3 linked regions of the Rhinolophus ferrumequinum genome follow. The protein of the gene in region 2 interacts with the protein of the main gene of each other region in a pairwise test. Links are inferred from orthologs where the notes say so. Each region holds a gene or a part of one and is shown on either strand. Other genes may lie near its edges.

Region 1 (8,360 bases), on a different chromosome or scaffold from region 2:
AAATGTTGAACACACTCATTCTGATGATTCATAATCAGTGCAATTACAATAGTCAAAATATCCTTGGAAGATAGTGTCTAAAAAAGAAAATGTGTTTCTTCTATATATATAACAGAATAAAGGCATGGAAGGTGAGATAGGCATATCCAAGGCCAGAGAATAAGACCAGAAAATAATGTAGCTTCCCTGATTCTCAGCCAATATTTTCACCATTTATTCATTCAACAAGTAGTTTTGAATATGTTTTATATATTAAGCAATGGGGATACAAAGGTGAACAAATTAGAGTCCCTGAACTCACGTTTAGAGTTCAACGAAGAAGGCAAACAACTTAATACAGTAAAATGTAATTCCTATTATGATAGGGGAGATACAGTGTGCTATAGAAATTCACAGGCTTTGATGTGAGAGAAAACACAAGACAAATCCAGTACAAATTCATCAATTTTAGGAGGCGGAGGGAAGTTGTGAGATGAGACTGGAGAAGAAGATAAGCAGAGATTAGTTCACTTTATTCTCTGGGCAATGTAAAATCATTTTCTATGGTTTTATGGAGGAGATTCATGCAATCCAATTTACAGTTTTAAGATTGTACTGCGGGAACTGCATAATGGGGCAACTGAGTATCGTGAGACCAGTTGAGAGATGTGTTATGGTGGTGGCCTGAACTAGAGTGTTGACAGTAAGGATGGAGGAAAATGAAAAGAGAAACATTCAGGTTTGAGCAAAGATTAGGGAGGGGGCGGGGTGGAGATGAGAGGGGAAAATGAGGCATTTAGCCCTAATCCTGTATAATCTGATCCAAATCTGGATATATTTGACTCAAATGGATATATTCAAAAGACTTTTGTATATATAGGTCTGGTGCTTTAGAGAGAAGCCAAGTTTGAGATCGATTTGTGAGTAATCATGATTTTTTACTAATGGGAATTGTAACTATAAGGAGAATAAAATTACAGAGAGAGAATGTGCATAGTAGAAGAGAAACTGTGGAAGGAACTCCAACATTTGAGTAGCAGTTGGGTCAAGCAAGTAGGCCTAAAAAAGAAGACTAAGATATGGCTGAAGAGGGAATAAAAAAAAGGGGGTGGGGAGGATAATGTTTTTTAGTGACTAGAGTGTGTTAGTGTGTTTCCAAAAGAATGGAGTATTAAACATTTTAAATGGCACAAAGAATTCAAGCTACAAGAACTGAAAATGACTGTTGATTTAATAGTGTTTCTCAACTTTCTTTTCATTATTACCTGCTTTTTCAGATTTCCCTTCAATCATACCCCTCCCATAAAAATTTTAGTACTACAGTATATCTGTATATCTCTTTATGTACTGTAAACATATCTTTGCTTTATACATAAAAAGAGTATGATTTTTTCGTTTGTTTCACAAGAGGCAATTTTTGTCCCCACTGAGATATATGATTTAACACAGGACACTGGTGATCTTTATAAAAGTAGTTTCAGTGGTCGTTTAGCTGGAAACTAGATATGCTACAGTGCGCTGATAAATAAATAGCATGAAGTGGGAAGAAAATAGATAAGGCGAGTAGTTGATACATTCAAGAGCTCTAGCTGTGAAGGGGATGAAAAGACAAGAAAATAAATAGGAGTGGTTCATAAAATTAAGGAAGATGATTTTTACATGCTGAATGAAAGGTGTGAGTAGAGGGGAAAGACTGATGATGTAGGAGAATAACTGAAAAAAAGAAGACCCGGAGACAGTAGGAGAGAATGGTATTGGGAGACTAGGTGAAAGGATTTGACCAAACGGCAAGATTTGTATATTTGGTTGCAGGAAGATGATGGCTTTTATTTTCTGTGTGTAATAAGAGAGGTCATTTGTAGAGGGAGAGAGACTACAAATACCATTTGCTACCCATGAATAGAGATATTATTGAGCTTCTTAAATATTCTTAAAAATATCTAATCAGCAGGGAACTCCAATAATATATTATGTTGACTATTTAGAAACATTGTAAAAATCCTAAGATTCAGTAAGAAAAGCTAACCTTATTTCAAAAAGAGCTTTCCTACTAAAGATATGTCAGGTAATTCTTCATTTACCTCATTCCTCCACTTTTCCTATGTTTTCAATGGAAAGTGTCCTCCTTTGTTTCCAGAGCTAATTCTTCCATTTGTAATTTTGATCCCATTTCCTTTCGTCTTTTCCAAGGTCTTTATCTCCTCTTTTTGAATCTTTAATCTTAGACATGGGTTACTTGCTTTCTGCACCAAAACTTAATGTATTTTGTATTCTTTAAAAACAAACAAACCTCAAACCTTTTAGGGATCTTGTCATGCTCAATAATCTTTTGCTTCATACTCCAAATGAGTTCACTTGCAGTCTCTCCTCTCAGTAACTGACTCTATTCAAGTCGCTCTCTCAAATGGCTAACTTCCTAATCAACAAATCCAACAACCTACTCTCAGACTTCAATTTACTCCTTTGACCCTTGTACATTTCATGGTAACGTTCCTCCAAACAAACCAAGTACTTCTTATCCTCTTATATGAAACTTCACCTGTTTGGGTTCTCACCTTGTAAGTTTCTTTCCGGATTACTTCCCACACTTTTTTTCTTTTAATCTTTCTACCATTTCCATCTAAATCACTGTTTCAACCTCGATATATCCCTAAGTTCCACAAAATTCCTTCTCCTCATCCGACGGCTCCTAATTCTATAGTGGCACCACCTACTTAAAGTATAGGCTTCAGGTTCAATCCAAATCTACCAAATCCAACCAGCCACATCGCTCATCACTTTTCCATATTCACTCTCTCCTGAAGAAGTGCAATCCCCTCCTCACTGTATTCCCCACCCCAGACAAGAGGTCCGCTCGGCTCGGTCAGAGGTTTTGTTCTCCAAAGCAGAAGCCTGGGGCTGACGTCCGAATCGTTGGCACTCCAGCTCACTATGGGTGACAAGACCTTTTTCTCGCGCCGGAGAACCCCAATGAGCCTGAATCTCTGGTTTGGGGCCTGAAAACACTGAGCTGCAGGTGCACCGCTCCCTTCCGGCCCTGCTGGCAAGAAAGCCCGGAAGGCCGGGAGCGAGGCGCGGTCCCGGCCCACAGCACCGGAGACGCTCCGGTCCGCAGTCCAAGCTGGAGTCCGGAACCCCAGCTATTCAGCTTACTCCCCAGGTTCCGAACTGTCCCCTGACCTCAGACTCCCCGCCCCTCACACTCACCCCGACACCTGGGCCTGTCAGTGATTCGGCGCCGGGTCCTCTCCGGACCGAGGCTGAGGCAGCTGAGAAGACCGTGAGGACCCCGCAGTTGGAGTGCCCAGTAGATTGCCTGACTAACAGCTTCAAAGAAACCAACTAGGTCTACCGATTTGGAAATATTAAATAAGCGGGAAGACATTGAATGAGAAGAAACATGTCTCTTGCGGTTTAGGATATAAATCTTTTAGATCACCCAGAATCTAGAAGAATGGGGGGCAATCTCACACCATCTGGATTCAGGCGCTCATCCGCAGCCTAACTCAGTCTGGGGTCCCCCTATAGTTGGGTGGGCGGGGCCATGAAGGGTTTGTATATTAGCTAATGGGTGGAGCCGAGAGGTAGAACCAATGACTGTGGGTGGGAGAGGCATAGACTGGGAGGAGTCGGGAGGGCGGGGTTAGTAAAAAGAAGGCGGTGATACGAGAGGGGGCGGGGCCAGAGAGTCGAAGGGGCGCACGCCGGTGCCTAAGTGGGTTGGGAGCGTAAAGATGGCCGCGGCTGAGCAGGAGCCGAAACCCAAAAAGCTGAAGGTGGAAGCTCCGCGAGCGCTGAGGTGAGCGCTACCCTAGGAAGGGTAGAGGGTGACGGCACCTGCCGCGACCCGGGCCCACGTGTAGTTGTGCGGCCCTGGCGCTGGGTGGCGTCCTCGCTGCCGGCATGGGGCCAAAGTGCAGAAACCGCTGCTCCGGGAGCTGCCCGCAGGGCTGCGATCTCTTGTCAGGTGCCCGCCCAGTTTGGCTGAGTCGCCTCGTGCTCCGGAGCGGCTCCCGCCGCCGGTGACCAATCAGAGCGCCGGTCGGGGTTGCGGAGCCGGATGAGAGCTAAATGCAGGCGCCACGTGGGAGCCCTCTCAGGCTGGGCTGGTGAGAGACCCGGGAGAACCGGGCAGGACCAGCGCACGGTCAAACGCGGCCATCTCCTCTTCCCTGTGGGGTGACGAGGAGGAGACCCAGCGACTGCTCTGCCCTGGGGCAAAGACATAATTCTTGGGGATTTTTTCGTAAATGTCGCGGAAGGACGACTTGACCTTCCTTTTCATAGAGACTGATTGCTGGCACCTGTGAAGATCATCTGCCAGGGACTCAGTCCCCGCCTCTGAGGCTTTGTGGGGGCGGCCTTTGGCTGAATGGTTAGGAAAGGCTGATTTTTCTTTTTTTCTTTGTACTTTTTGGCAGCAATGGGGAGAGTTCTGCGTCCGACACCTGCCTCACATGTGATTGATGTCGCAACTTTCACTTATCAAAAGCTGTTTGTTAAATATACCTTCCTAATAAGTATAAAGTGCAGTGTGCACAGTCCTTGCTTTTGCAATAATCGTTGGAAAGCAATGATTTTTCTAATTAAAAAGGGACATATCGAATTGATTTAAAACTATTGGGACACGCCTGATTATACAAGAGAAATCTCATTTCTTCCAGCATCACCCCTCTTTACCTCCGAAAGAATGAATCATTCATAATTGAAAAGAAAGGGTCTCTTAGGGGTTTGGTGGTGTGTTCATGCTGTTTTGAATGGATGGTGACCAAATCCCTGCCAGTGCCTTTAATGTATTTCTACTACCGTCAAAGGGTTAATGTGCCTACCTCATACGAAGAAAATAAACTTTATTTTGTAACAACTCAGGATGTTCTATTTTTATTTTAAGTTTACAAACTATAGAGTAAAAGGGGCTTTTGAATTAGACCTATCTGGGTTCGAGTGCTTTCCCTATTGACCCATTATTAGAGTGTTTCCTTAAAAGTCACCTCTTTTCACAAAGTTTCCTCTAGTAAATTGGCAGACAGATGCAACTTTTCCCTACTATCCTACTAAACAAACTGCCCTTAGATTTTCCTATGTTAATCCATTTTCAAAGTGCTTTCCTATTTTACAGATGAAGAAATTGAAGCTCAAATGAAATATTTAGTTAACTGTTTGAACCCAGAGCATTTGGGTGCAAGTTCATTGTTGTTGGACTCTACTGTGTCTACTTTTATATAACCACCAAAGGTATACTTTCTGCCTATGCATCCTTACAACGAATGATAAATAATGTTTAATACTTAAGTATGTATTTGCTAGACACTATATCAGCACTGAACCTATTTTAAGTCATTCAATTCCACAACAACCTTACAATGTGGGTACTGTAATTATCTCTATTTTACCAAGGAGGAAACAGGCATAGAGAGATTAAGTAATTTATCAAGGTCACTTATCTAGTAGGGTTGGGATTTTAATCCAGGTAGTTTGATTCCAAGTCTGTACTCTTAATTACCATGCTATACTTAATTAACTTCAAGCAATTTATTCCAAAATACTAGTGAATTGTTAACTCAGTTTTTGTTTGTTTCTCCACTACTTTTGCTTCTGGGTGTTTTTTGTTGTTGTTGTTGTTAGTGTACGTAACTTTTTATGTTGTTGCAATATGTGGGCATATGATACAAAATAATTCTTAAATATATATAATATATTTTGTATATCATTAATGTATTTAACACTTGTAAAAGTCTTTAGGCCACTGAAACTCATTTTATACACTATCTACTTAATGCCACCTGTAGATTTAAAGTTAAAAGATTTAGACACTTGAGGGCTGGGACAAATCTCTTAATTTTGTGTGAAGATGTTTCAGGATTGGCTGTTTCTACTTTCATTATATTAGTTTGGCTTTAAGGGTTGAGTGGGATTATACACTGAGTGGTCAGACTGCATGCGTTATTTATGATGACTTGCTTGACAATTCAGAGGCTAGCTATCAGTTTTGGTTAACTTTTAGGGAGAATGACTTACAAAGTCTAAGCCTAAGTTAATGTGTAGATCAGTCAGTGAGGGAACACATAAGTTTATGAGATATTTGTAGATGCCAGGGAAAGGATTTAGACTTTTGTGACAATTTCAGAATTCTGGAGTAGCAGTGCTCAACCACGGGAAATTTTGGAAGTGTCTGGAGACATTTTTGTTGGGGACTGCTACTGGTTCTCAACCAGAGGACATTTTGCAAATGTCTGGAGTCATTTTTTTGGAGCGTGCTATTGGCACCCCGTGGGTAGAGTTCAAGGATGCTGCTAAACAACCTGCAATGCACAGGAAGCCCCCTACAACAAAGACTTATTCAGCCAAAATTGACAATAATAGTGTTGAGATTGAAAAAACTCTGCTCTAGGGGGAGCATCTGACAAGTCTAGCCTCCCTTTCTCAAATGGGCATAGTTTTTCTAACCTGGATTGCTTTTCAGGGTAGCAGTTACTAAAGTTGCAATAAATAAGCAGACGCTAACATGTTTTCACATTGAGTTGGGGATCAGACGGGAACATTAATTGAGACATTATACTTGGTGCTGTATGTATGCTATATCATTTAATCTTCCCAGCAACTTGTGAGGTAGGCGTAACGATCCCTGTGTTACAGGTGAGGTATTTAGGGCTGAAAAAAGTCTAGAAGAATTTTTGGGAACTGCTTTCTAGGTGAAGGTGCTCCACGATGCTTACCTATATTTAGGACGTCTTAGTTTTCTCTCCTTTGGAAATGTCATCCAAGTTTATTTCTTTAGCGGTCACCTCTGAGAGGATGCAGTTCCTTCCAAAGCTTGTTGAGCATATGCCAAGTCTGTTCTTTCAATCAGTCTTTCAAGGGCCTGCTCTTTTTAGCATGGTGCTAAAAATTAGGTACCTACATATAGAGAGGTAAGACCCAGGTAACACTCTCCTGGTGGAAATGAGTGGGGTTTGGGAAAATGATACCTGAGCATTCTGAAAGATGACAAGGAGTTAACCAGGTGTGAAGTAGGGTGTCTGGCTTTATAGGAAAGTTTGTTTGGAGGTAGAGATGGGAGAGAGCTGCCCAATGGAGAACTACATATGGTTTGGTCTGACTGAAGCAGAAGGTGTATGGGGTCCAGGCTTTGTACTGGACACTCTTCACATGTGTGATCTTTCTATCTCTATATCCTTTAGCTTTCAGACCCTAATCTTACTGTCTGCTAAATATCTCCTTCTGAGTGTCTTGCTGACACTTCAAAGTCATATATATCAAACTAAATCCATCTGTTGACCTAAATCTGCACCTTCTTCCCTGCTTCCTGTATGTGTAAATGGTACCACTAACTTATCTCTCTAAAGTTTGGAACCTAGTTACTTGATTCCTTTTCCATCCACATAGAGTTATCAAGTTGGTCTTTTTTTCTTCAATAATATCTCATAAATGCCTTTCCTTTTCATTTCCTGCTGCCACATCTCCAGTTTAGACTTTATCTTGCTTAGACTTTTTATTGACCTCTTAACTAGTCTCTCTACCTGCAGTCTCAAGTTCTGCCTAATCTTCAGGCCTAGCTCTACTTAGTCATCATAGCAAATATTTGTAAGCTCTTAAGTTGATGTTAGGAAGCGTTCAGCCCTAAGGGCCCACAACATAACTCTTTCTGACATTAGCAATTAAAGATTATTCTGGGTCATGATTTTTAATAATGTTAAAAAGGAAACAAATGACAGTTCTCCAATCAATGAATATTGAGCTTTTCTCAAATTATTGCTTCCTAACCATTCACTTTCATGGCCTCATTTTATTCTTTCACTTTGTCTCCTACCTCATTCAAGACCTCGTGTTTTAAAATTGCATTGTAAACTTAGGAAGAAAAATCTGTAAGTATCTTAGGTGACCAAGCAATACCTTTGATCCCTTCTTCTAAAACACATTTTTTTCCTCTTTCAGAAAAATTTCTGGAAGATTAAACTGAGCACTCTGTTCCTGGAGGGGTCTGTTGTGAGGATTACATGAGAAAATATATGCAGATTGCAAAAGAGGAAGGATGAGCATGTGTTCTTAGTGTGTTGCACAGTGCCTGGTCCTTAGGAGCTGTTCAATTAATGTTTATTAAATGAATCATCAGCACAGCGTTGAGTGGGACTGATAATCTTCACTTTTTAGAACTTGCATTTTTTATAATGCAGCCTACAATTGAGTTTGGCTCTTTTTGGATGATATTGCATGCTGTTCACTTATATTCATAAATTTAATTCTTTAAGATTAAGGCTTTGGGCTATGAAGGAAAATGGAAAACAAAAGTTTCCTGAGGTACTTTGTATGAATGCCTTCATAAGATCCTTTCCTGCCGTGTTTCCCCAAAATAAGACCTAGCTGGACAATGTGTCTTTTGG
Region 2 (7,438 bases):
GACCCTCTGGCCCAGAGCTTTCTACCCTATCATCCTGCGAAGGAATTAGGTGCATTATAGAAGGAGAAAATCCAGAACATGTTTTTGTGTATTCTTTAGGACTGCACTGCAGATTTCCTTCAAGTTCAAATAAGAAAAAAACAACAACTTTGTTTTGCTTTTCAGTTAACAATAACAGTCGAAATTTTCTTCAAATTCAGCATGTTTTTGAAAGGATTTGTAATCCTAAACCACCACCATAAGTACATCATAAGTTCAAAGATTCAATGCCTTCCCCAATCTTATAAAAAAAAAAATTGCATTTACCAATTTTGGCTGGGGTCTAGGGAACTATATCCACATAAACACACAGTTCTTTGCAAACTATGCAGTAAACGTGCAACCCCTTTGAAACTAGTTTTGTTAACCAAACACAGCACTTTTAAACTGGTTTGAATTGCCAGACAATTGCCCTTTCAGGGTGGCTCACTAGTATTTCCTCACTTTCAAGAATAGATAGATTTTCAAAATGAGTAACTCACTACTACCCCTTTTGCCTCAGGTAAAAAGATCCCCTAAGATAGACAGGAGTTTACTAAGCTCAAGTATCAAAAACTCTTCAAAATACCATTCCTGTCAGGAAAGGGGGTGAAAAAAATGTACAAACCCGTATTACACAGCCTTAACTACAATAAGCACCGTAAATGCCAAGTCATCATGCTCTCATAATTCCCCTATTACATTCCATACAAGCGAAGCTCTGTGAGAAAGGAAAATTTTGAAAACATAAAAAGCACTTGATGAAAAATATACACTTAAACCAGCTGGAGAAAATCTGCAGCCCACACTCCAAAGCCAGAAGCTCCACCTCCATACCTATAATTTATCTCCCGCTCTATTTTCCGGACCAAATGTTACACTGCTTCTTATCCAAATTCACTTCGCCCCATCTATAGGTAGCATGTGGGTATTGATAAAAGCTGTTTCTGATTTCATTTCATTTCCTACTTCCCAGATGTTTGCTAGCTTTTTCCCCCCCTTCAGTTATTTATGAATATGCTCTGATTTAGAACAAACAAATTCAACATGTTATATTTTAAGCTGGGCAAGACACACAATAAATGACAGCTATAAAGATAATTTCAAGATATTTCTCCAGCTTATAAATAAGTTTGCCACTTAGGCAAGATTTGGACAGGCTGCTATGGTCTTACTTTTGAAGAAAGCACTTAAAAACACATAACTGAGAACGTGCTGTTGCTGAAATGACCAACTAGAGGCTACTGTACTTCTCATAAAAGGGGTTGTGCTAAAAATGGACAGACAAATATCAACTATCAGCTGGGGAGAAGGAAAGTTGTCCCCAACGTTAATTCTTGGTACGAATCATTCATACACACTTCAACTACACCTCTTCAAATGCATGAATGAAAACGTTAGCCAGAATCAATGCTATCTGCATCCAAAACTCAAGATTCTACTTTCCCATGAATAGTATTCTTTTATATCTCTCCAAATCAAGCAGCGAACTACGAAATCAAGTGGTAAACATCATAAGTGGAAATGTTGTCTAAACAGGATTACAGATCTTCCCGTAGAACTTTGAATTCTTCAAATATGAAGGCAAAACATGAAACAGATACCCTCAAATATGTGACTACAAACAGTAACCAAGTTGTCTCTTGAAATTCATCTTTAAGAATGCAGAAATAATAGACCACCTTTTGATAATCTGCATAAATATTGGTTTTATAGGGAGGTAACACATTTTCAAAGAAAGCAATAACAGTATTTTCCCCCCTGATTACTAATTGTAAAACTGTAAGAATTAAAACCTGATTGCACATAGGCGACTAAAAGCGCAGTTCACTAAATGTCTGTCATAAGAAAGCCATCTAGTGTTAACATTTAGAAATGAAAACTGCAGACAAAAGAGGCAAAGAAAAGAGAAATCTAAGTGACTATTTTGAACTTACTGAGCAAACCTATGAGAATCACCAAGGTTCTTTGTTTAACAAAAAAAAAGGCCATCCTTACCAAAACCAAGTCCAAATCTCAGCAAAATCCAAAATCACTACTGTTTTATTTTAACCAAAATCCTGTTTGGTGGCCACAATCCCGTGACCGGTGCACTTGATGTTCCCAGTACTCGCGCTGGAGTCATCTCGGGCTGAATTAATTTAACCGAAGCAGGTTAATGATGACAAATACCTCCCAGAGGGGTAATGCCAACTTGTTTTCCCTTCCCGAGGAGCCTCCTCGCGCTCCTACATGATGAACCGAAATTGATTCTTCGGGTTTGCGGCACGGTTGGAAATTCATCTGAGGTGCTCGTGGGGATACTCCAAGGACACGGTCAAACTAGCTTTAATAACGTGGGGACGCGAACGGGACCCGAGCGGAGGACGCAGCAGACTCGGCCCCCGGGGCGGCGAGAGGGCGTCTGACTCCGAAGGCAGGTCGCGCCGAGTGAGGGGGTCGCCGGCCGCTCGCGGTCCTACAAAGCGGGACCGGGCGCGGCGGGCGCTCGGGGCACCATCTCCCCGGGAATCACCCGCAGCAAGTTCGGCAGGAACCTCGCCCAGCGCGCCGGTGCACCGCGCCGGGCAACCTTTTATCTTTTCTCTCAGGTTAGTCACAGAGGAGTCGCCGGGCGCCCGGAGGAGGTCCTCATTAGTGAGCGTGTCACCAAGACGGAAATAACCTTTCAGGCGATCGATAACTTTGAGAACGAGCGGCGGCGGCTCCGCTTCCACCGGGCTCGGGAGCGCGGGCGCGTCTGCGAGCAGGACCCCGCGCCCCGGCTCCCTGCGCCCCAGAACTCCCGGCCGCCAGCCCCCCAGGTGCAGCCCCTTCACCGCGGGACAGTCCCCGCCGAGACCGTCCCCAGACACCACCAGCAGGCTTCCATCCGCTCGCCCCGACACGCACCTCAGAGACGCGGACCTCCGGGACCAGCTACAGCCCGCGAGCGCGCGGAGCGTACCGGGGCCGCCGCCTGGACGCCAGCCGCCCCGCTCTGCCCATCCGCCCGGGCTCTGCCTGCCCCGGGCTCCGGCGGGAGGCGGCCGGACCCGCCGGCTGAGCTGGAGCTGTCGGCCTGCGCTCGGGCAGGCAGGCGGCCGAGGCGGGCGCGCGGCGCTGCTCCTCCTCCGCCGCCGCCGCCGCCGCCGTCCTCCTCGGGCTCCACCGGCTCCTCCCGGGCTCTGGGTCTGCAGCGCCGGCTCCCGACGCCGCCGCCCGCCCGCCCCGAGGCACCGCCCCCCACCCGCGCCGCGGCCTCCCATTGGTCGCTGCCTGCAGGCCCCCTCGGCCCCGCCCCGCGATTGGACTAGGGCGCCGTCCGTCCCACGGGCCCGCGGGCTCTGTGAGCAGCCAGTGCGCAGTTCCCAGGCCCGGGTGCGCGGGAGCGGCGCGTCCCGGAGGGGCTCGGGCTCGGTCCTGGGGAGGGAGCTGCGGCCTTGAGGCGGGTGCAGCCTATCTGGACCCGCCCCGAGGGAAAGCCGTCGTCGTCCTCCTCCGGATTGGTTCGCCCCGCTGTCAGGGGTAAGTGAACCCCCGAAGCTGGCTCCAAGCTCCCGCGGCGCAGTCGCGACCCTTTCTGGCCTCCACTCTCTGGAGTTAGGAGAATCGCGCCCACCTGGAGCTCGGGACCCCGCGCCGCGAAGTACTGAAGGTCTCTGGCCGAGAAGACACAGGCAGCTGCGGGCGCTGCGCGGACACCTGCCCCGGACGCCGTAGAGTCGCTGAGGCTGGCGACCGTCCAAACCACCCCATCGCCATCGCCGTGTTCACAGGAAGGGGGCAGAGGGGCAGCCCGTACTGTGTGCCAGCCCCGGGGAGCGCCCCCGACCGCTCAGGCGAAGCCTCTACTGTGAGCCGGCTCCGAAGGGTGCCCCCAGATCACCGAGGTGATGCCCCTTTGTGTGTCGGCCCAGGTGGTGTCCCAGCCCCCGGTGACTGTGGTGGAAGGTTGCACAGAGAAAGGCATAAATGTTAATAAATAGAAGGTTCGAATGAGGTTAGGTAGGTGCCTGTGCGCAGAAATGCTATGGAGATGAGACCTTTAGGAGTCAGGAGGGAAGCTGAAAGGGGCTCGCAGTCCAGGATCTCCCGGACCCGCTCACCCCGCCCTTCCCCTTGGGCAGCCCTCAGCCCCAGGGAGGAATGCTCTTGGATCTTTATCCAGAAGAGGAGGAAATCAACTTTTTATACCTATCTTCTCTACTTTCCTAGGAGGTGTTGATTGCCCAGGAGGAAGCCTTACTTGAAACTAACTATTCATGCAAATTGCTTGAAACTTGCATTGGTTGCTGAGTTGAAAGGATCACAGGAGACTGACTCTTTTAAGCTAGACTGGAGTTGACTCTGCCTAATGACACAGTGGGGGTTACAGCCTACAGGCAGGAATAGACTGGTGTAGGTAGCCTCTAACTCACCTTCCAGGGGTTCCTGAGCCGGCTTCACGTTGCACCGCACTTCTTGAGACTGGATTCAGGGCTTTCAGCTCTGCCCTTTCTAGAGGTGAAATTCTTCCTGTATAGATAATGTCTATACTTCCCTATCACAACACGCCCTGGAACAGAACCCTGTGAAACATTTGAGGCAGGCCCTCCCATGCTATATTTCTCTGTGATCTAAAGCATGTACACATTGTAAAATCTTTTTTATCTCTTTTAAAACACGGCTGTAATATATGGGAATGGGTATAATAAAACATCTCAAAGAGTAATATTATGACATGACAAAATTCTTGCCTTCTCCAGGTTTGAATGGGCTTCTCAATTGTCCCTTCATTCTCAGCCTTTATAAAATTGTCATTTATTTATTCAACAGTTATGGAGACCCTGTCGTGTTCCAGAGGCGCTGGGTGTGGGAGGTATAAAAACGCATACGACATAGGTTCTGCTCTCCAGGAGCTCCCCATCTCACACATTGTAAATGCTGTACGCAGGTCTGAACAAAATCCCACAGGGGCAGCCATGGAGGGACATTTTCTGGGGCACCTAAAGAGGAAGCACTTCTCTTCATAGCATGTTGTCACAGTACTTCTCCCACTCTCGTAATGGCACATGTCATTGTCTTTCCCACTGTTCTATAAGGGCCATGAGGAAAAGAAAGTCTTCTTCCCCAGGGTTTTGACCCCTGAGGCAGCGACTGCCTGAGCCAATTGTCCATTGTCTGATAGACACCTTTGGTGTGTTCCTTAATGCCCAATACATAATGGTCTTTTGGGGAAGTCAGACCAGACACTCTCAATGATGACATTCTCTTCCTCTCCCACCTTACTACCATCCCTGTTCTTGGGGTTTGCAAACTAAAATTGAAATATGCCAAGTCCTTTGGTCACTAACAAAGTTGACAGCATTTTTAAAAATGCTTGTAATTGACAGTGCAGAGTCAAGAGGTGTGTGTGTGTTTATGAAAGTCTGCGAGAGCTGACTTGCCCAGAGCCCAGATGCCATGCATCCCTCCCTCATCAGAATGTTCCTGGCCTCAGCACACCTACTGAGCCCCTGTGTGGTGCCAGGTCAATGGGGACAGTAGCAAGATGGCCCCGGGCAAGATCCAGAGGGTCTTGTGGCAGACTGTAAGAGACACGCAAGAGACAAAGCTCAAGAATGATTTTGGATCTTCCCTACCAAATAAAATATTCTAGAAATATTATTAAATTTAACGCTCGTGTCCTTTCTCGCTTGCTTTTATAGGGAAAGATAAACAGGATAGAGATTGGAATTGCGGCACCTGTTAAGATAGTTTATCATTTTGGCCTTAGGATACCTTACTGAGGAAAAAAATATTTTGCTATTAAGGCTATACATTTTGCTAAAGTTTTAAAGAAAAAATATCAACTATGATGCGTAAAATTTGTATTTGCCTGAAAACTAGAGTGAACTATCACATGTTTATCTTCTCACTTTCATGTTCCCTGAGGTGAAGACTTCTTAAGCCTCACTTTTTCTCTTTTCTCTTGTGAATTTCATCACCCTCCTGGAGTTCCTAAAGAAACAAACTCAAGGGATTAATTCTCTTTACAACTGTGAATAAGCACATCGACTCCTTCTGAAATAATTCCGTCAGTCTTACCTGTTTTTTTTCTAAAAGCTGTAAAGAGGCAGAGAGTTCAAAGACATACCAGCTGTCTACCTTGTTCCACGGTTTTGAGCTTGTTGGCTGACCTAGCTTGGTAGTTGTTTCTATTTACCTCTGAACTTAGCAAACCAGGAGTTTTATTTCCTTGACACATTACAGCAAGAGTCTACTTACAGATGCTATGCATGCACTGCAGTGAACCTGAATGGCTAAGTTAAGTAAGGGGTTCGATTCCCACCATCATTTCCTCCTTTCCTTTTCTACTTTCAGCTCTCTTTTTTAAAGTGTTTCTTTTACGTCAAATGAATATTCATAATTTGCAACAAATATGTGTGGATTGCATGCTACATTCGGGGCATTAGGGTAAACTCAAAGCACCCAGAGGGTTGTACACCAGAATCATAAGGAACAGAACTTGGGAGAAAATGCTCAACACCACCAATGAGTGGTACCCACAGGGAAAGCAGGAGAAACAGCCATTGGCAGGCAAAGCTTGGGCAATGGGGAAGGCTTCACCTAGGATATCAAACCTGCTTAGCAAGGAAAAGACAGCCCTGTTGGTGAGAGGAAGCACAGTGGGCAAAGACACAGGAGCCAACTGTGCCAGGCGTGTGTGGGAAACAGCCATGCCCTATGGCCAGGCACAGGCTTATTCACTTACATAACAAACACTTACATGGTGCTGCGTCCATGCCAGGTCTCATTTTCTTCTTACAGGGGAAATCTTCCCAGTGGATGAGCACATGGGCACAGCTTCACCTTTCCTTCAAAACAGAAACATCTTGCAACAGAAACTTGTGAAGTAAGAAATGCCAAGTTCTGCAGCAATTGAAAAAAAAAAAAACAAGGCTAAGCTGCAGCTGAGAAAGCTGGGTTACTGGCCCTGGTATACCAGTAGTCCTGCTAAAAATAAAGCACATGTTCCTATTCAAATAGAGCCCAACAAATAATGTAAGAATTATCAAATAATATGCTAAATATCCATAGAAGCCGAAGGAAAAACTCTTGTAATAAAAAAAAAATCAATTTTGCAATTATATTTGGAGGACTACTCAGTGCTCAGTTCTGCTCTGGGGATGCAGAAGATTATTACACATAAATAACAAGACCATCCTCAAGGAAGTACAATACAGCTGAGCTGGGATTTTTACATAGGACACAATTCTAAGAACAGTGCAAAGGCAGTGCATTAAAAATTTAGTATTATACAGATATGTGCCACGGAGATCTAGAAAGGTAGTGTTGATGGAGTGATCAAAAATCAGTGCCAAATATCCTTCAGAAGGGAAAAGTTTCTTGTTTTCTTAACCATCCATTTCCCAGATAAGATTCCCATATATGTTGGTATTCGCTGTAATGTGCTCAA
Region 3 (8,374 bases), on a different chromosome or scaffold from region 2:
AGCTGGGTTGCCTGCAGCAACGTCCTGGGTGCCCAAAGGTTGCTCCTGCTTTACCTTTTGTTTCAAGATTGGCAGGGTTTGGGGTTGAGAGCTACATTGTCTCTACTCCTCCACTTCCTCTGCCTCTGCCTCAGAGTCTCCACTGTGGGGCCCCTCTTCTAACAGGCGGACCAGGCTTCCAGTGCCTCCAACCGGGACACCTGGTCCGGCACCTGGGCCATTTCATTAAGCGCATTTTCCGTGTTGAGACTCAAGGCAGTGAGGAACATCCAGCCCACGCGGCCGGCTGTAGCCTTCGCCTCCTCCGGCAACCGCTCAGCCAGAGCCTGCAGGGCCCTCTCCACGCTGGCCGGAGAGTCGTCCATGGCCTCCCACCCGTCCTTGGGGGTCCAACTCCTGAGAACAGTGGCCACCGGACACCACACACTGTGTGGGGGCCACCCGCCCTCCTGCCCAGAGTCAGACTCCATTCCTACCTGGCCGGAATCTTGCTCACCTGCCAGGTGTCTCAGTGGGTGGAGGCCTCCGTGTAAGATGTCCACAACCCTCGGAGCCTAAGGCCGCAGCACACCACCAAAATGAAGGCAACACCATCCACGGCCAAGAGGGTGGTGTGCCAGCTGGAGGCCTGAGTCTCCCAGGCAGACCGCGCCTCCCGTTCCTGGTGTGGCTCCTCGTGGGCCTCCCGAAGCTGGGCTCTCACATGCACAAACCGCTCCACCATGCTTCCGCAGGTTTTGGCTGGCACCACACCCTGCTTACGAAACTGAGCTTTTATACGTATAAACTGCTCCAGGACATTCCGGAGAGGTTCGGCCGACACCACACCCTGCTCGCTACGCCATTTATCGTGCGGGGCGGCCTGCGGGGTCTCTGCTCCCGCTCCCCACATAAGAACGCAGGATGTGGTGAGGCCAAAGAGGAACACCCGCAGAGCCATAGGTAGGGGTCATACCACTATGGTCTCACTGGAGGCTGGATTCACACGACGTGCGACCTGCTGTCTGCTTTTCTGCCAACCGACCGACTCCCCTCAACTCGACTCCCCAACGCAGCCCGCGGCAGTTATATCAGTGGCCAATGGCTCAACGGTTACAGCTGACGGCCAACTAGCCACAGCTGATGGCCATCTATTACCCGAGCCAGCACCTTTCCACGTGAGGCTGGGAGCCTGGAAACTGCTCTCTGGGGCTCTGTCCCCACAGTGATGCACACAGTTCCCCAATATAATGGCTACATATCATTGCCCACTTCTATGGAGACAGAGTTCTAATATCATTAATGTCTATCATTAATGCTGCCAACAGATTATAATAAATTGTCATCATTGGGGAAAAAAGATGGGGAAGGTGAACGGGAATAAGAGGTTCAAATTTCCAGTTATAAAATAAATAAGTCATGGGGATATAGTGCACAGCATCGGGAATGTTGTCAATAATATTGCGATAGCGTTGACTGTGTCAGATGGTTGCGGACTTACCATGGTGATCTCTTCTTTAGGTATATAAATGTTGAATAACTGGTGTACACCGAAACTAATATAATATTGTAGGTTAACTCTATTTTAACAAAAATCTTTAAAGAAAAGAAATACACTCTTGTTACAAGGTCCTGCATACAAAGGAGGCATGGAACACATATCAACTCTATGACAATTCCACAAGATTGCCATGGACCCCCATCAATGTTACTCGTCAGCAACTGCCCCTGAACAAACACAGAAAGTACCCAGGGGACCAAGGCATTGTACTTGGGGACAGCGTCAGTTCTTCCTTGATCTGAGCAGACCATATTAAATTTATACCTGAAGAACTAGTGTCCAGATTTCGGTATCTTCTCAGCTGCATATTATTTTCAGATTAATGAATCAGTTACAATTGCTGGTGGACAGTAATTTTAGGAAAACTGAATAGGCAAAATGAATAGTTACAATCCTCTGGGTGAGGACCAGAACGTAAACAATGCTGGGAGCCGATGAGGCAGAAAGATACCTGGTGAACTGAACTAGCTGGTTATGGTGCCCTGGGAATAGGGAAATATCTGTCCGAAGGAATATAAATTCTGCAAACTAAACCTGGCAGTTTGGAGAAAATGTTTTTAACCCACCCATTCCCCTTCTTGTTTGTAATATTGCTTTCCTACTTTTCGACTTGAGTTTACTCGAGAAGTGGAACATTTATTCCAACAAAATGTGCCCGGTGAGGTGTCTCAGTGATTAAAGACATCTGCTTATTAGTATATATTAACTCCAGTGTAGTACTTGCACTTCTCTGAGGATATCTTTACTCAGCCCTCAGTCGGCTGATGCTGCATTTTCTTCAGGTGTATAATTTGAAGAGGCAATTTTTACCTGCGATGAAGTCCAAAAAAAAATGATACTTAGCTTCTTGGGTTCATTAGCCTTTAGTCTTGGTTAGTGACTACCCGATGTTGCTAGAGCATATTTGGAAAATAATTTTATCTGTTGAAACTTCTTTTGGAAATCAGAATGTTATACTGCAAATCATGGAAGAGGAAAAATGTTGTACTATAAAGCTTAGCCAGATGTGATATAATCATTTTATTGAGGATATGGTATGAGCAAATTTTTTTCCTTAAGTAATGAACACATTTGCTTGTAGTTTGAGTTAAACAAGTTATTACATTTCCTTAAAAAATATACAGAAAGTTAAAAGTGTGAAATCCATTTTAGCATGACAAAATCATTTAGATTTTAAGATAGTATCACAGATGTAAATATATCCAAGTTCAAATTACTTGGAATTCTAGATTCTAAATATTTTAAATTGAAGTTAAAATGAAATCAAGTGTAAATTTACCTGTGATTTTTTTTTCTTTTGGTTATTTTTAGGATGTGAGACTGGCAAACAATGTTTGCTGGGAGGATCCATTATTGTGATTGAATTCCAAGTAGCATTTTTCAGTCACATTTCACTCTTACAAAAAAAAAAAAAGAAAAAAGAAAAAAAGAATCCTGTTGTGTTTTAAACAGAAATACTGAAAACTTCAATTCTATTTGTGAATGTTTTTCTTTTTAAAAGTATCTTTCCTACGGACAGATTCTCTAGAAGCCAGCCAACAATCCAGGCCTAACACTTTAGCTAACAGTTCAAAATCCAAAAAGTAGTGTAGAAGGGAAGAGTGACTAACAACAAAATGAAAATGGTCAATACATCTCAGGAAGCACTTTATTACAATAAGTAGGTGACTTCACTGGGAATAGCACACTCTACAGAAACAATATTTACCACAGATCACCCAAACTATTATACTGAATATTAACTAAAAGATTTATGCAGTGTTTTTAAAATACACATTTTGTATATGTAAGGATACTGTGTACATTATCAAATAATTCATCTATATTTCTTAAGTGTCATATTCTCTGATTCTTGTTAATCTGTGTGAACTAGGGACAAAAAAGTCATTGAGATAGTTGGATTAGACCCCAATCAACTACTAAAATTGAACCCAGAAGATCCAAGCTTTCATAGCTTAATTTTATGCCGTCTATGCTTCTCACAAGAGCAGTAAAAAAAAAAAAGGCTGACATAAATAAGTTATAAGAATATCTGATCTTATAAGAACATTACACAGAATCTTTAAAAGTTTTAGCCCTGGCAGGATTCCTAGGTGAGAATGGGCAGCTATTTCATATTTTACTTTTAGTTGCCCCCTCAGTTTTTTTTGGTCAGGACTTCAACCAGGCCCCTTTGGAAGTTAACAGTTTATTTATGCATGCAAACCCTTTTCCTTTGCCGGGTCTCATTTCTTAGTGCTCTAGGGAGAGATCCCACCAGGCAGTGAGTAGCCTGATTTTAAATTCTTAGGCTCCTCTCCCTCCCACTCACTTCTTGCCCTCCTCCCCTTCACATTCCTGCAACTTGGAAAGACAGGAAAACAAGACTTCACACTTTAACATTTTAAAGGAGCCAACCACTAGCCAGCCACCTCTCTCTAGGATGGACACAAGGTGTACGGTTATTCCCTTACACGAGTGGGTATTTTAAAATCTGGTTGGGAGATGACATGCTACAACTTTAGAATTTAAAAAATTGTAGGGGGAGTCTTTTTAAACTCAAAAATAACCTCACATTTCTCTACCACCTTTCCATTGGCAGTGTGGAAATAAACAAAGACCAACAGGTAAGAACAGTTTGCTATAGCAAAGAACCCAGCCACCTACACTGAGTTTCGTGGACACTCAGGGCAGGCAGCGAGAAAAGGGGAAAGCTGCACGTATGCTCTGATTGGAGTGTGTTGGCCTGGGGAAGCTAGAGGCCTGCTACGGTACCTAGAAGCCAAGCGTCTCGTGTGATTGGTTTGGGGAACATATTTGGCTTTCTCTGATTGGTCCCGAGTTGGAAGCAGGGGCAAAAATTGGGGAAGCTGGCAGTCAATGACTGATTCCTGCCCATTCTCGGCGGATTACTGCGGGGGCTGTTGTTTGTCTTCACCAGCTGCTTGCAGCAGAGGTTGTGGGTCGGGGTCCTGTAGTCACACACGGTCTGGCCATTGTCCTATATATTCAGTCTCTCAGCCGGGTGAGGCCCGGGTTTTTCTTTTCCCTGACAGCTTTCTAGCTTCGAATTTTTGTTTTACTTGGAACACAATTTTCCTGTTATTTTTGTTAAGGGAAACGGAGACATTAGGATATAAAAAGTATTTATAAGAATAAATACATAAATATCCTTCAGTGAGGGTCAGGCGGGAGAAAGAATCACCCTCGGCCTTCCGGTTCCCCATGTCCCTACAGAACTCTTATTTCCATTATAACCGACTCCTCAGCGGCTTTCCTTTCCTTTGCGGGAGGTCCGGCCTTCCCCGCCCCCTCTTTCTTTGAAGATAGCCTATTGGGGCCGGGAGGAAGGTCGTTGCCCTAGGACCCCATCCCCCTCCCCCCACCCCCTCCCGGCGCAGCCCCAGCGCAATTCCCCCTCGTCGTGTCCTTCAGTCCCCGCCGGGCCCCCTTCCGGCCCCCTCCCTCGAGCGCGCCGGCGTCTCACGGCCACTAGTTCTGCATGTTCCTGGACGGACGCGGCCCCTTTGGTCCTGCAGCAGCTTCCCTGGCCCGCGGGAGATGTCAGGTCAGCGCTCCCCTCCCCGATTCGCTGCCGGGAGAGGCCGTTCTCCGAACGCGTCCTGGGTCAGGAATAAGCAGATCCTCTCTGGTCACAACTCTCGATTTCCACTTTGGGGGGCGGGCGAAGGCTGGGTGGACTTCGCAGTCACCATTCCCTAGTCGTTTCTCCTCAGCTGTGGAAAAAGCAGCCCTCCTTTCCCTTCTGAGAAGAAACCGTACTTCCCCTTCAACTTTCCCTCAGTTCTGGGCCCGCTGGGTGCCCGTTGGTGTGAGAGCACCGCTCTCTATTTTCTCTTGGGAGAGGTTCCGCGGCCCCTATTCTCTTGCCGCGAAGCCGCAGAGGCCGTGACGCCCTGGCGGGCACAGCGGCGGTGGCTGAGCTCTCGCCATCTTGCGTGGAGGAGGAGTCGCGGCCGCCGCCATGCGGAGGCCGGCAGCGAGGCAGGGAGGGAGGGGGGCGGCGGGCGAGGGAGGGGGCTCAGGAGCCGAGTTAGCTCAGCCCGGGCGGTGACTTCGGCGGAGCCCTGAAAGCGGGCAGCGACGGCGGTAAGGCCGGCCGGCGGGTGGAGCGGCGGGCGCGGGCGGCTCGGGCCTCGGCCTTTACAGCAGAGCGAGGGCGGGGGCGGAGGAGGCCGCAGAGAGGGGCCGGTTGGGGGCGGGCGGAGGTTTCCGAGGAGGAAGGAGCCGCCGCCATTTTGGGAGCTTCGAGTCAACAATAAAGGACCGAGGTTGCCGAGCGGGTGTGGCCTCGGTGGTAGGACTCAGGCCCGAGCCGCGGGGAGTGGGGTGAGGTCGGGGCTGCGGGAAGCCTCTCGGCCGGCGTGGGGGACACTGAGGCGGAGGCCTAAGACCTGGCTGGACCCTGGGGAGGAAGGCAGGCGGCAGCTCTGTGGGGTGGAGGCGTCTGAATATGGGGCTGTGCGCGGCGGGGTCTGTAGAGGGAGCGGGCCAAGTACTCGGAGGAGCTTTATACCGTAGAAGACGAGGGAATGTGGGACCATGGGGGCGGCAAGGACTTACGGTGATGTTGGAGGTTATAGGGTACGAGGCGGCCCTATAGGGGGCGGCAGGGATGTGCAGTAGTGGAGGGCTCCGTTTAGAAGGGGACCAGCAGCTGCTTGATTGAAGTAAGGCCTTGTAGGTCGGTAACGAGTGGGTGATTCTGGAACCCCTCCGAGTCGTGGAGGAAAGAAAGACTTTCTGGGTTAAGGGTTTCTCTTTGGGGCCTCATAGGAGGAGTACCTTTTGTTTCCTACCCGCGGAGCTCGTTCCCTGCTCTTGTTGCGCAGATAGGATTGCAGAGCCCCAACCCGTTTGTGTTTATGGTCACAGAGAGCTGACTTGGTGTATGTGTGTGCGGTTTTTTTGGGTGGGTGGGGTGAGGCGACAGGGAGAGCAAGAAATTATTGTCCTACAATTAGGGGGTCCAAATCATTGGCTAGTTTCCTTCCCTTATTGCTTACTCCCTTTTCCACAGTCCCCTTTTCCCCTCAGAATAAAACAGGCCAACTTGCAGATCCAGCTACAGAAAATGCGCTGCCTTTGCAAACAAAGCTTTCGCCGGAGATGACGATACTGTTTTGGGTGTGAAACTGTCAGTTGCTAACTACAGTCCGGGAAGTGGTGTAATTAACTCCGTATGGGGCTCCTCCCAACTAGTCTACGTTTCGTTCGTACTATTTAAAATGCAGAAATATAATTTCAAATCTAAATGGGGAAGGGATAGAAGGAATATTTTCTCTGAGATGTAAAACTGCAGTGCAGGTTTCAGTTTAATTAAGGAGGGGAGCAATTATCAGTCACAATTTGGATCTAGGGAGACAGGAAGTGTTACATGCCTGATGGACAGTAATGATATCATTTAATCTTTAGAGGTTGCCTCCTTCATCCTCTAGTACTTTGCAAACAAGTCTTCTGGTGTGAATTACGCGATACTGTTGATCGTAATATAAACCTGTCAATACAGAATACCATTTACTGCCCTGAACTGAAATTAGGTGACTGTTAACCACTATCTGCTTAGGAGATTAATTCCATTCTGGTAGACTTCGAAATATACCTCTGTGTGTATGATGATCTGGATTTGCTTGTGAGCAAATTTATTTCCAGTTTTTTAAAAAGTAAGAGACTCAAGAAATATTTTAAACATATTGTTGGAGAAGACTTTATATATGGCACAAATTAATAAAGCTTGTGTATTTTTGGTAAGAAATGTTAAAGGAGTTAAAAAGGAGTAGGCCTTTCTTTTCTGGCCTTTGCAAATTAAGTTTTTATTTACTACATTTTAAAAGAAGAATTCAATTTGGGGAATAATTAAAAATGGAGGAGATAAACCAGTTCTTTTTTAAAACGACTTGTAATTAGTACTCTAGGTTTCTTGGGAAATTTGATTCATTACTAGTGTATTTAGCCTTTCACAGATTTTTTTTTCCCCAACACAGGCACTTTCTTTTTAGTTTTTATAATTTTTTAATACTGTTATACTTCTTGAAAAGTGTTATTGAAATGTAGCTAATAGTTTTTTAGTATTCAAATTTTATAGTAGCTAAGGAGCTTCTTGGCTGTTTTTCAAAAAGGTGATTTTGACATGTAGATGTGTCTATATCCCTGCTTCAGTTATTGTTTCAAAGGGCAAAAACTTACAGGAAAAAAGAAAATGAATTTTTCTTCATAAAGTTGAACTTCTATAGTTGAAATTCATGAGTGCACAAATGTGTTTTTTCTGAAAGCATTAAAATTAAGTCAAAAGCTCACTTTTCAAGGATTCTCAGTTGCTGTCAGAAATAGAAAAAAAATTAATGAATTATTTTGCCTTGTTCATATGTAGATTTACATTAAGTTGTGTGGTATTTCATTGAGTTGTAATGTAATGAGGTGTAATGAATCATTGACTTTTAGAGGTGTCAAAGGACTTCTAGAGAATTAGGAAACTGTAGGGAAGAGATTGCCATTTGACAACTAATGCTAATTTAATCACAGTATCTTTCTAGCTGGATTCTCTGGGTTGCTTTGAATTGACAATTTAAAATGTTTGAGATTGGTCTCATTGTGAGTTTGGTTTTTGAGGCGGTTCATCTTTGTGTTTCTCCCAGCCTGGTTAATGATTTGGTTTAAGCGCAGCTGTATTCTTAATTCTTTAATTTAAAAGGAGAGTTCTTCTAAAGGAATTCTTTAAAAGGGAAACAAGTTTTTCCAACTTTCCTGTGTTTTTGCTAACTTAACTTTTTCTTTGTTTCAGATTGAAGTGAGTGAATTCAGATACATAACTCAACCTTGTTAGAGCTTTTTTAA

What was found.
Region 1: the proteins of SIPA1L2 (region 2) and AP3M1 interact in binary tests that used the Homo sapiens proteins (3 or more experiments, as listed by UniProt). The two-hybrid records come from large-scale screens. The link is inferred for Rhinolophus ferrumequinum from reciprocal best matches to the Homo sapiens genes SIPA1L2 and AP3M1.
Region 3: the proteins of SIPA1L2 (region 2) and DDX6 interact in binary tests that used the Homo sapiens proteins (3 or more experiments, as listed by UniProt). The two-hybrid records come from large-scale screens. The link is inferred for Rhinolophus ferrumequinum from reciprocal best matches to the Homo sapiens genes SIPA1L2 and DDX6.

What each region holds. Positions count from the first base shown.
Region 1 is NC_046299.1:51,445,548-51,453,907, forward strand, and holds the start of AP3M1 (AP-3 complex subunit mu-1), read right to left. Parts: upstream 3,447-8,360; 5' UTR 3,187-3,446; intron 2,252-3,186; exon of another isoform or gene 2,061-2,251; intron 1-2,060. Other genes in the region: ADK (adenosine kinase), read left to right, coding at 3,714-3,778. UniProt on the Homo sapiens protein: Part of the AP-3 complex, an adaptor-related complex which is not clathrin-associated. The complex is associated with the Golgi region as well as more peripheral structures.
Region 2 is NC_046310.1:24,634,592-24,642,029, reverse strand, and holds the start of SIPA1L2 (signal-induced proliferation-associated 1-like protein 2), read right to left. Parts: upstream 3,100-7,438; 5' UTR 2,911-3,099; intron 1-2,910.
Region 3 is NC_046294.1:88,088,327-88,096,700, reverse strand, and holds the start of DDX6 (probable ATP-dependent RNA helicase DDX6), read left to right. Parts: upstream 1-4,928; 5' UTR 4,929-5,087; intron 5,088-5,096; exon of another isoform or gene 5,097-5,629; intron 5,630-5,740; exon of another isoform or gene 5,741-5,869; intron 5,870-8,321; 5' UTR 8,322-8,374.